Linked DNA regions of Mus musculus. The protein of the gene in region 2 interacts with the protein of the main gene of each other region in a biochemical or structural test. Links are inferred from orthologs where the notes say so. Each region holds a gene or a part of one and is shown on either strand. Other genes may lie near its edges.

The links.
Region 1: the proteins of Smurf1 (region 2) and Pdlim7 are reported together in a solved structure, tested with the Homo sapiens proteins (2 studies listed by BioGRID, with this or other methods). The link is inferred for Mus musculus from reciprocal best matches to the Homo sapiens genes SMURF1 and PDLIM7.
Region 3: of the proteins of Smurf1 (region 2) and Smad5, one has a biochemical effect on the other in vitro, tested with the Homo sapiens proteins (3 studies listed by BioGRID, with this or other methods). The link is inferred for Mus musculus from reciprocal best matches to the Homo sapiens genes SMURF1 and SMAD5.

What each region holds. Positions count from the first base shown.
Region 1 is NC_000079.6:55,510,534-55,514,727, forward strand, and holds the start of Pdlim7 (PDZ and LIM domain protein 7), read right to left. Parts: upstream 2,914-4,194; 5' UTR 2,834-2,913; intron 1,886-2,833; 5' UTR 1,875-1,885; coding exon 1,779-1,874; intron 1-1,778. UniProt on the Homo sapiens protein: May function as a scaffold on which the coordinated assembly of proteins can occur. May play a role as an adapter that, via its PDZ domain, localizes LIM-binding proteins to actin filaments of both skeletal muscle and nonmuscle tissues.
Region 2 is NC_000071.6:144,962,927-144,967,105, reverse strand, and holds the start of Smurf1 (E3 ubiquitin-protein ligase SMURF1), read left to right. Parts: upstream 1-1,275; 5' UTR 1,276-1,550; coding exon 1,551-1,605; intron 1,606-4,179. UniProt on the Homo sapiens protein: E3 ubiquitin-protein ligase that acts as a negative regulator of BMP signaling pathway. Mediates ubiquitination and degradation of SMAD1 and SMAD5, 2 receptor-regulated SMADs specific for the BMP pathway.
Region 3 is NC_000079.6:56,723,489-56,727,101, forward strand, and holds part of Smad5 (mothers against decapentaplegic homolog 5), read left to right. Parts: 5' UTR 1-105; coding exon 106-508; intron 509-3,613. UniProt on the Homo sapiens protein: Transcriptional regulator that plays a role in various cellular processes including embryonic development, cell differentiation, angiogenesis and tissue homeostasis.

The DNA.
Region 1 (4,194 bases), on a different chromosome or scaffold from region 2:
CTTCCTGAGAGGTGTGGGGCAAGACCAAGGTGGGGGGTCCTGGGAGGAGGAGCCACTGGCTCCCTGAAAAGGGGTGGAGACATGAGGGACCACTTCTCTCGTGGGGTACTCAAAATGTGAGGGCTAAGCTGGTGGTCAGAGCACCACAGGGAAAGAGAGGCTAGTGAGATTAAGGAGGGGAAAAGCCAGGGGACTGGACAGTGTTATGGGTGTGGGTGAGTCAGCCTGGGAGCTCCACTGAGCAGCCCAACCCCCAAATCCCAGACATTACCTCATCTTCCAGGCCTGGGCCCACAGCCAGCCCTAGCCCCTCCTTCCTCCCTCCACTCTGGGGTCAGGGGAGGGATAGCGGGCTGGCCCAATTTAGAAAAGACCACCCCACCCATCAGGGCCTAACTCACTCCAGGGCAGGACTCAGCGGGTGGCCCCACCCACAGGTTAAAGCTGCTGACAAAGGAGGCCAGGGGCCAGCAGGGGCCAGCAGAGTGCCCCCAAAAGGCAACATCTGCAGGGCCTTCCTTACCAATGAAGAAAACTTAAGACCTACACTACACTGGCCAGCACTTTCCCAGAGGGGAGGAAGAAACCCGTAGGATGTACGCGTGGGGGAAGGGTCTAGATAGCCCTTAGTCATCCTGCTGGTTGGAGCAGATTCCAAAGCAATTCCAGAGAAGGATTCTGGGAAGAACACAGCATGCATGCCTGCCTGCCCTGTCCACCATGTCTGGCTCCCACAGAGAGAACCAGCCTTGATACCCTACTCAGGCTGGGCAGTGCCTGGAAATTCTCAGGCCCCTTTGGGCTGGGCTTGCCCTGGGCTTCCTGCCAGCAGCTGCCTGCCTACACAGTGGCTGGGTGGGCCTCTCTAGGCAGGCGGATATCAGGGAAGGAAGTCCCTGCCCCCTTTTTGACCCCCTAGGCCAGTCAGAGATACCAAGCTGGAAGGCTGGGCACAAAGTTTGCTTTGAGTCCTACTGACACCAATGACTGAGGGCCAGGTAAGGGGCCTAGACTTAGGCCAGCCCTCTTGGGCTCTGTTGACTAGCCACTGCTGGCCATCCCAACTGGGGCCCGCATTCTTGGGCTTATAAGGTAATCCCCCTGCCTCAGGGAGGAGTCAGTTCCCAGCTCCACCCTCCTCACCAGGGTGGACTGAGGAATGGGAACAGGAATTCTACAGGCCAGCCTCACTACACCTAGGCTTGGGGTCAAAGGCCACACAGCCTGACTAGAGCCAGCTGACTGGGACTCAGTCCTCACACAGGGCGGGAAGAGTTCCCCGTTGGCCTTGACCGTACAGAGAGTACAAGCCGTTTTTGTGCCTCAGTTCAAACCCTTGCTCTGCAGTGGACTTACTGAATGGGCTCCTCCAGCCCACCAAGCTCTGTCACTTGGGGAAACAGGATGACAACTGCTATTCCTTGAATAACTGGAATTAAAGTTACATCCTGCTGGGGACCTGGCTCCACAGGCTGCTCTCCTAGCTAAGTAAGATACTTCTTGGAGACATCAGCCTCCAATACCGAAGGAACAGGCTCCCCCTTGTCACTCACAGATGGCTTGGTGGGAGAGCATCAAATACCATGTCAAAGTAGGGAAGTTGGGAGTGCCTCTCTACTCTCCACCTAGTTGGGAGTCCTGGTAGTTAAGTGTCCATTTGGACCTGGATACTCCTGCCTTATTGGTCCTGGCTTGCTCCTGCTGTTTCCTCCCATGATCCTCTGGAAACCTGAGCACCCAAGAACCCTTGGGGAGTTTGTTCCCCCACCTAGGCTCACCCGAGAGATAGAGAGGGGCACATTGAAGTCCTTGCCCCCTTGCAGACGGAAGCCCCAAGGGGCTGGCCCTTCCAGCACCACCTTGAAGGAATCCATCGTGCCTGCTCCTGTGAGGAAGAAGAGAAAGTGTCTGCAATGCAAATTGGCAGGCAGGTCCAGATCTGGGCACTAGCGTTGGCCAGGCACCAAGAAGGCACGGGCGGACGCTCAACACACACAGGCACTGGGAGGCAGGTATCTCAGCTGGCTTGGCTGGGCTCCTGGCAGGCCGACCTCTCACAGACAACAGACAAGGTGGTTCCCCACCCTGCCCCCTGCCACCGGGAGGGCCTGGAGAGGCCTCTCCGAGCTCAGGTGCTTTTCTCTTCCAGGGGTTGGCTGTGGGGCTAATTGGCACTGCTTTGCCCAAGCTAACCTGGAATCTCAGGAGGGTGGCGGGGTGAGTCAGGGGCCAGCTCCCCCTCCTTCCCCGGGTCCCGGCAGGCAGGCCGCCGCCGGAGCCTGCTCGGACTATATAAGGCGTGTAAGCTGACACTGTAGAGAGCCCGAGGAGGGAGCACGTTAGGGGCTCGGGATATGAGGGGGAGGGGTGGAGAAGGAGGACGCTGGAGCGGGTCCTAGCCATTTTGGGACAGGTCGAGGCTGCTGGTGGTCAGGGCGGGACCCCTGGTCTCTGAAAGGGGAAAAGAAAAACGGGGTACTGGTCCTGTAGAGAGCGACGGGGGCCGTGTCCCTTACGCACGGCCAGAGAGGGGATCCTTTCTGGAAGCCAGAGAAAGTGGTGCCACCCACGCACGATGCTCCCTTGCCAACATGACTCTGTTTCCCTTCGTCTCCCGCCCCAGCCCCGCGCTTGGCCGCGTCCCCACCGCACACAGTGGCGCAGGCGCCAATCAGCCCCACTTCGCCGCAGGAAGGCGGGGGCGGAGGCTGCGGCCGAAGCCAGCCGAGGGAATCTGGCACTCTTCACGACCACCCACGCCCTCCCCAGCGCCTCAGCGGGCCATAGGACCCCGTAGGGTGCAGGCCAGGAACCCCCTCGCGGACGCCGGTACCTGAGTGCCCGCCTGGGCCGCTGCCTGGCAGCCTCCGGGAGCAGCGATGGGATCCGCCGCTGCGCTCTGACCCCGCCTCCGCGGACGCCGCGCCTTTTGAGCCCGCGGAAGGGGGCGGAGCCCTAGGCCACGCCCTCCCCAGGCCAAACGAGTGGACATCCCGGGGTCGGTGGGAGGCCCCACCCAGTCAAAAAACCCTGAGTCTCCAGGAGAGGGAAGGTGAGATCGGGCACTTACCCTCGCCAGTCGGGTCGCTGCCCAGCCTGTGCCCCGCTTCAGGCTCTCGCCCAAGCCCCTTGCGCCTCCCACTGGCGGAGTGGAGGAAAGCATCCGTTTGAAACCCCAGAGTTGATTGATCTCTCACCGTATTCTCTTGTAGAGGAAAATGGCATGGTAACACTTTTCTGTTAGGGATACTGTTAGAGGTCAATATTGTCAGCATCATCAGATTTCAGATTCTCTAGGAACTGGAGAAGCGAGATAGGGTAGTTTCAAGTTAGGCTTCCTGGTGTTCGGGATGTAGCTTAGTGGTGGAGCTCAGTAGCTAAGCTCTCTGGAGGCCCTTGTTTCAGTCCTCAACACCAAACCCAACCAAAGGCTTGCAGGATATAACAAACAAGTAAATACATACATAGTAAGAGCCAACGGGGGCGGGCTTAGCGCCACTTGTTGTCTGACGGTGTAAGTAGAGTCCACAGCCATGGGACTTCCACCCAGAGCCCCCAGAACCACTATTGGAATGGATTGTTTCCCATTTAACCCCAGTCCAGAGTACACAGTTCTTCCAATGCGGTTGGGATGGAAGGGGCTGCCACGGAGTGTTCTCAGAGCCCCTGCTTTAGCCTCGGTCTTAGCCAAGGGTGGGCAGAAGGAAAAGCTGAGCTCTCCTGAATGTTTGAGTCAGTAGAGAGGTGCACAGCCTCCCCTTGCCCAGCCCCCCCATCATCACACCCCCTCTTCCCCATCATTGTCCCAAGTACATAAATTCTTATGGGAGTTGTCATCCTTGAAGAAATCCTCTTCAGGTGGGTCTCTGAGTTCAAGGCCAGACTGACTGATCTATGTAGTGAGTTCCAGGACAGCCAAGGCTACACAGAGAAACCGTGTCTCGAAAAACTGAAGAAAAAAAAAAACCAAAAAAACAAAACCACCCTCTTTAGCTATCTGCTATGCTTCTGTCTCCATCACGTTTCCCTCTTTGTCCCTCGTCCCCTATACTATTGACTCTTTCTCCAGGTCTTCTATGACCTCAATTAAGTCAGCTGCAGCCTTCAGGTTTCATCCTGTTCTGACAGGAATGCTGGTCTACACCAGGTTGATCAGGGGTTTTTTCTTTTTCCATTCCTTCATTTCTATCTTCT
Region 2 (4,179 bases):
AATATCTAAAAAAAAGCCTCACAAAACTTAGCTTCTTGTGCTTGCACCATCGAACACCTTACCAATGGTGCTATTCTCCCAACACCAATCAAAGACTCCTAAATGGATTTATTCCAACCTAGGGTCTCGCTCTCAGCGACAACGGCTTAGAAATGGAAGCAGAGTTAGAGTCTGGATTAACCGTTGCCCATACACGATCCTATTCTTAAGATATTTTCCCTCCATTATTAAATAGTCTGGGCTGCACAGGCTCATAAAACCAAACTGCCTAGGACAAGAACAGGTACAAGCCTGTAATCCCTGCGCTCCGGAGGCTGAGTAGGGGGAATCACAGTTTTGAGGTCAGCCTCAGCTACAGATGAGCCCCTGTCTCCAAAGAGGGTGGTCAAACGCTGTGGGTAGCTGGTTCTAAGGAAGAACCATAGAGTCTGCCCATGAAGTGAATTAAGTTCAGGTCGGATGGGAGTTTGGTAAATATACGCAGCCTTTTCAAGAACCTTTTATTTCCTCTCTAGAATGCGTTACCATAGAGATTGGTTTGCTTGCTGGGGAAAGAAAGCCCGGCTTTTACTTTTTACCGGCCTGACACTCTGGGGGTTTGGGGGTGGGTTCATCAGAAGGCAGGGACTCGAAAACCCGACTGCTTACTTCTCTGGGTTAGTTCAGTTGCATGCAGGTTCCTATCCACAAAACCACCACCTCTCCATTTACATCCTTCATCTTGTTTAGCTGGTCCATATGCCGCACTTCCTCTGAGTCTAGCCACTTTGTCAATCGAATACACCAGTTGCACAGGGCACATCCGACACTCGATCACTGCGGGAAGTCTTCCCTTGGAACTTGCAGGATCTAGTGTGTACCCACGCGCGCACGCGCGCACGGTTCTTGGGGTTTCATGCAACACCCTGGCTTCCATCAGGAGCTTTGAAAAGTCCGACACTGAAGAAACAATCGGTTCCCCCAAATCGTCGCACAAGCAAATCAGTTGGTTCTGAGATTGTGACTAAGAACCAGCTCCGACTGCGCCGCTTGTGTGTGCGTGTGTGTCGTCTACGTGTGTGGGGCGGTGGTGGCCACGGTGGTGTCTGTTTCAAGGCTCCCCGCCGGCTGCAGGAACCTTGCAGCTCCCCCAGACCCCCTTGCGCGCGCCCAGGACAAGCGCGGTCCGCGTAGCGCCGTGCTCGGGCGCGCGCACGCACGCACACACGCAAGCGCGAGGCCGCGCAGGGCCGGGCCGGCAAGGCGGCGGGCGCGCGCAGCTCGGGAGGCGGCGGCGGAAGCAGCGAGGGCGGCGGGCGTCCGGCTGCGAGCGCGGCGGCTCCGGGCTGGGCCAGCCAGGGGCGGCTCCTGGCGGCGGCGCGGCCGAGCGCTCGGTTCTACGGTTCCAGCCCGTGGTCTCCGGCCCAACGCCTGCGCCGCGCACTCGGCGTCCCGGCTCGGACCCCGGCGCCCAGCCCGTGGCCGTAACCTTGAGGCGGCGGCGGGGCCGGGCCGGGCCGGGCTGGGGGGCGGCGGCACTGGATCCGAGGCCGGCCGGCCGCTGGCGGGAGATGTCGAACCCCGGGACCCGTAGGAACGGCTCCAGCATCAAGATCCGTCTGACAGGTAGGCACGACAGGGCCGCGGCCCTCGCGCCCCTAGACTGTCCCAGGGACCCTGCGGACTCCCGCCCCGCCCCCTCCCCCCCCCCCCCCCTTGCACCGGCCGTTGTCCCGGGACCGCTGCACCCCCTACGGCGTGCGCCCCTCGCTCGCGCTCCCGGCCCCGCCCCCCGGGTGCTCTGCAGGCGCCGCCCCTGCCGCCCCGTCCCCTCCCTCTGCATCAGGGCCCGCCCCTGGCACATCAGGACACGCCCCGCTGCGGCAGCCCCGCCCTCCCTCTGCATCAAGCCACGCCTCTCCGATCTGCAGACTCGCCCCCTTAACTAGGCTCAGCCCTCGACTCTTCTGCAGACTCCCCCTCCCCCTCACAGGCTCCACCCCTTGACTACTTTGTAGCTTTGGCGACCCGCCCTATGGCTCCTCCCTCTGCATCATTCCCCGCCCCCTGCTTGCTCTGCAGGCCCAGGCAGCTGCCTTTTCTGCATTAAGCCTGGCTTGCTGTTCATCCCTCTATCATAGATTCCACCCCTGTGGCTGATTCTCTTGGCCCCGCCTCTGGCTCCTTTCTCTTCAGGTTCTTGCCTATCCCCCCCTGCCCACACTACTCTATCTGCCCACACCTACCATCAGTTGCATATGGGCCACGCCCCCTAGCTTTCTCCCTCTGCCCCTAACTTTACCCTTCTGGATCAGGTCCCGCCCCCTAGCTCCTCCACTACAGGACTCCCCCCCCCCCTCTCCTTTCTGCCCCACACCTACCCTCAGCTGCATATAGGTACCACCCCTCGGGGCCCTCCACCGGTCCCCTCTAGTGTCCTCTCTTGACACCGCCCCAGCACCCTCTGATCCACACCTACCCCCCTGCCTGCTTTTCTTCAGGCCTTGTACATAGCCACACACCTTTCAACTTCATGTAGATCCCGCCCCCTCGCTGCACCTCCACCGCTCTTTCCACCCCTACCTCACATTTTCATCATCCATCTCTTCACTCTCATCCTCCTTCTACCTGCTGTTCCCCTCTAGGCCCACCCCTCACCATCCTCCCGCCTGTCCCCTCCCTCTTTTCCCTTGCAGCTTCTCATCACTTCATCTCTCTCTCCTTTCTTTCTTCCCACTCTCTCACATGAACATTATCTACCTTCTCCCTTCTCTCTCTGGGTCCCTTCGAATCATCCCACCCCCTACTCGTTTGCCTTGCTTCTCTTTGCTCTCCCACCGCCTCACCCACTCCTCATCTCCATCTCTCTAGTTTCCCCTCTCCTCTCTTGGCTCCGCCCCCTCTACTGTTTTCAGCCACGCCCCCGTCCCTGCTTGATCCCGCCCTCACTTATCTTTCAGTCCCGCCCACTCGCTTCTGTCTTACAGCCTCCACCCTTAAGTCGCAAATTCCTCAATCCTGTCTGGGACCAAACGTCTGTCTCCCAGTCTTGTTCTCACTTCCCCCACCTCATCAGTGGTCCAGACCTCTCCAGTCTAGTCCACTTCCGTTCTCCCCGAGGCCAGGCCACTTAGTACTCCAGAGACGAGTCCTTGGTTCCTACCTCCTCTGCAATGCCTTCACCCCTCGCCACATCCTTGAGTCCCCCCTCCCACACAAGCTGAGCTGTGGCAGCTGCTCTAGTGCAAGGCGCCTTGTTCCCCTCAGTCTTCAGAGGAATGTTCAGGTTTGCTAAGTGCTCTGTAGTGCCACCTTCAAAGGTGAGCGCAGAGCTTGCTGTGGGTCTGACAGCAGCAGGGCAGTTTGCATGCAGGCAAGGGGAGAGCTCTCTGTCATAGCTGTCCCTCTTCGTGGGTCCGGAGTCTGGACCACTGCCCTCAGCTTCCTCTTTCTTTCTCCCTCTCCTTTCTCTGCAGACCTTACCAGTGTGAATCCATCCCTAAGGCTGCATGCATGGCAGGGTTGGCAGAGGGCCTGCTTTGGGGCTTTCCAGCTCAGAAGAGGAAATACATCGTTAAGTCTGAGGCCTTGCAGGGAGTTCCCTGGATTTTTCTGTTCCAAGGCAGTGTGTTGGGGACTAAGACTTCTGCTTGTCCTTTCAGGCAGAGCCTTAGGGTAAGACCTGTGATCATGGTGGAAATTCTTGGAAAGTTTCTTGTGTTTAAGAAAAGATTGATAGTTTTCCCTGAAGATGTGGGAGCAGATAACGGTGTTTGCACTAGAACCCAGACCCCGGTCATATTGGCCATCTTTGCCTCTGGACAGATACTGGAAGAGACTTGCTCAGTGGACATGCGAAGGGCATGTGTTAGTTAGGAAGTTAGGTTCTTTGACAGTCATCTTTGGGAAAGTTTGCTGCTCATTGACACTGGGCTATGACTTCAGATATGATCCAGGTTGCTTTCAGCCTTCCCGCTAAAGTGACTGACTTGGGGAGTTTCAGTAGAAATGAGATCAGTGGCTTAATTGTGGAATTTGTGGCAGGTATCTATTAACAGATCCTGGTCAACTGGTTAATTTTGGTATTGCAGACTTGGAAAGTGTCAGAGTTTTGGATGGCTTTTGATGGGGAAGGACTAGGGATGGGTGTTAAAGCTCATGGTCTGAGAGCATCTGTGAGCGTCATCATAGGATTGGGGG
Region 3 (3,613 bases), on a different chromosome or scaffold from region 2:
CTTGGACTTTCTGCTTAAGACCTGCATGTGACTTTTCACCTGCGAGCCACGCTTTTGGTATCTACTGACTTTGATTACAGGAAAGTGTCTGAAGATTTGTATCAAATGACGTCAATGGCCAGCTTGTTTTCTTTCACTAGTCCAGCCGTGAAGCGATTGTTGGGCTGGAAACAAGGTGACGAGGAAGAGAAATGGGCAGAAAAGGCAGTGGATGCTTTAGTGAAAAAGCTGAAGAAGAAGAAGGGTGCTATGGAGGAGCTGGAGAAAGCCTTGAGCAGCCCAGGACAGCCAAGCAAGTGTGTCACGATCCCCAGGTCCTTGGATGGACGTCTGCAAGTTTCTCACAGGAAAGGCTTGCCCCATGTTATATATTGCCGTGTTTGGCGCTGGCCAGATTTGCAGAGCCATCACGAGCTAAAACCATTGGATATTTGTGAATTTCCTTTTGGATCTAAGCAAAAGGAAGTTTGTATCAATCCATACCACTATAAGAGAGTGGAGAGTCCAGGTAAGTTTCACTGTCCTAAGAATTAAAAGCATCAACTTGTCTCTTACCAATTGCATACAACTAGGCTTATTAGCGAAAAGGCTGTATCAACCTTTTTAAAGATTCCATTTTAGAAGGAATTCTAACTTTTCAATTTAGTTTTTGTGAACACCCCATGCCTGCTATTGATAAGCACTTTCTCTAGTAACACCCATTTCCTTTCTGCGGCCTACATGTTTCTGTCATGCTAAACACATGTTCCATATTCACACGAGGTCCTTCTCTCCTTCTCTCCTGTTTGTTTGGGAACTTTGTTGTCAAACACTGTCAATTTTTCTGGCTTTACAATTTTCTTCTCTTACATGTCTTTCACTAAATTATTTTTACTTTCTGCGCCTGTGTGTATGTGTATGTGTGTGTATGTGTGCGCGTGCATGTGCACACGCGCTTCTGTCATGGGACATATGGAGATCAGAGAACAAATCTTAGGAGTTGAGAGGGAGGCCTTTCCTTACTCATTTCTCATTCTTCAGTGCCTAGAATAATACTCTTTTCTAGGTACAGTGGTCAGTTTTTTGTTTTTGTGTTTGTTTTTGTTTTGTTTTGTTTTACAGTGAATTAATTACATAAGCTGATATCTTAGTCCTTTTATTGCTTCTTAGCAGACTATCACACAGACTGGATAAATTCACTCAACTGAAAAGAATTAAACGCAAAACCAACGTGTACCTCCCCAATTTGCATGTAATTAGGTTTACTAACTAAAAGGTTACTTTAGCCTTTGTTAAAGATTAACAATAGAAATCGTGGCGGGCAGAAAGTCCAGGATTAAGAGGCCAGAAGGTGAGGGTCTTGTAATAAACTCTCCTGTAGAACAGAAGAGTGGCATGGGTGTCAGTGAGCCGGAGAGGAGGGAGGGGAGCGAGGTGCACAAAGAAACCTACTTTTAGTTTTCCTTTGGTGCCAGCATCAAATCCAGTCTTGTGCATTTTAAGCAAGTACTCTACTGTGGAGCTACACCCTAGCCCAAGCAACCTGTTCGTGTAACAAAGAGTCCACCTCCACAATGACATCATCTCATTACTTCTGGTGAGAGCCCACCTCTCAACATTGCCACGTTTCCAGCTTGTGAACTTTGCAAGATAGATTCACCACAGCAGCTGAGATACAAGTTGGGTTCTTAGTTATTTTAGTTGCTACATAATAAATAGCCACACATGTGGTAGTTTAAACCCAAAACACATGTATTACCTTATATTTTCTGGGGGTCAGGCATTAGTCACTTTAGCAGCATCTTTTATGAGTTTCTAGTCAAGGTGTTGGTCAGGGCTGGGTTTACCTCGGGAGTCCAGATGTGACAAGATTTAGTTCCTGTACAGGGCATTGGATGCTTGCTGGTGATTGGCTGAAGACCGCCTTCATTTGCCTTTTTCCTCAGTAGGTCACCTGTATGTCTGCTCTTGCACTGCCATTCTCTCTCACAGTAGTAGATTTTCCTTCTACAGACTATCTCTGATAGCATGCATGCTTGTGATGATGGTAACGAGAGTTTTCCTGCAGGAGGGCAATGAATTCTTAAACGCTTCCCCATTACTTTGCCCATAATTCTGTTGGTTAGGAGCATGTCATAGGCCATATGCTGAAGGGGGGAGGTTTATCCAATTACATGACTACACAGACTCAGTCTTCCATACTGGAGGAATTGTAAGCCTTGAATAGTTGAATGTGGAGGCTAAAAGACTAGCAGTGACCTGAGTTATTGGTTAACATTAACCATGAACTTTAGAGCTGCTGCTCTATATGTGAGGTGGATCTCAGTTTCTTATGAAGCCCAAGGAGAGCTATAATATGAGGGAATTGAGGAAGAACAAGGCGGATTTAATGGAGGAATATTTTCTGAAAAATTCTCAAGCTAAGCATTTGCTAGCAATCCATCTAAGAATTGTATCTGTTCCTTCTCACTGTCAGCGTTTGAAGACAGTGGGCAGTAGAATGGTCTTCCTTTTAGTCCACCTTATCATTCCATATGAAGCACAGCAGTGGTTTGGAAATGCCTTGCTAGTTCACCTGATGGATAAATAAAACCTTCATGCTTGGCTGCAAGTCTACACCTCTCCTGGGGAAGGGGTAGCTTCACTCGGGAGGGCTAGCCTAGTTAGGGCTCCTTGACCAGCTAGGGACGGTAGGTGCCTCTCCTGGTCCTGTGCTAATAAAGGAGGTCGTTTGTGACTCTGGCTGCACTGAGCACTGGTGGACACGTGTGCTTTCCTAACTCTGGTACTCTCTTGTGTAGAGTTAGAGATGGAGAAAGCACCAACATCCCACAGCAATAAAGTCTATGTTTACTGTTGTAGACAAAGTAGCTAAGCCTTAACTTATACAAGAGTGCACAGAGTGGCATGAGGAAGTGTCACAGAGAGAAAAAGATAATAAAAGGTATGATGAGCATGAAAGTAAGGCCGGCGAGGTGTGCCAGTATCTGTTTGACTAGAAAGAATTATCTGTTGGCTGAGGTTATGAGTCCTGGGGTTATGATTTTACTATATATTTATTACCTGTAACCTCAGGCAAGTTAGAGAATCTTTCTGTGATTTAATGTCCTCTTCAGCTGGATAGTACGGCTACTAATGACCTTACAGAGTTGTCAGGGAGATTCGGTTAGTCAGTGTCTGTGTTAGTGCTTAAACATTATGTTCCCCAAGCTAGTTTGAAATGAAGGATCATTTCTCCAGAGAGATCCAAGTAGAGCATATGGGGAGTGGGCAGAGAGGAAGTGTTCACACACCCAGCTACTTAGAACTGAAAACTGCGAGAGTCATTCAAATAAACAGTGGAAAAGAACCACAGATGAAGTTCTACTTCGAGGGCTGATTTTGAAGGAAAGACCAGGCCTGTTGCTTCATTGAGGAGATGTTACCAGTTCAGTTCTCTAAGTGCTAAACATGAGCCCTCTTACTAACTTTGAGAGTGGTCAGCGTTGGGAATGTAGATTTCTCAGGGTTCCACGTACTGACCTCAACTCCCTCTGTAATCTTATATCTGTGTAGATCAGTGACTGTCTCTTCCTCTCCTGTCTGCCTCTCTTCACTCCTGGCATCCTCAGGTGACGTCCTCTTGGCCCTGTCA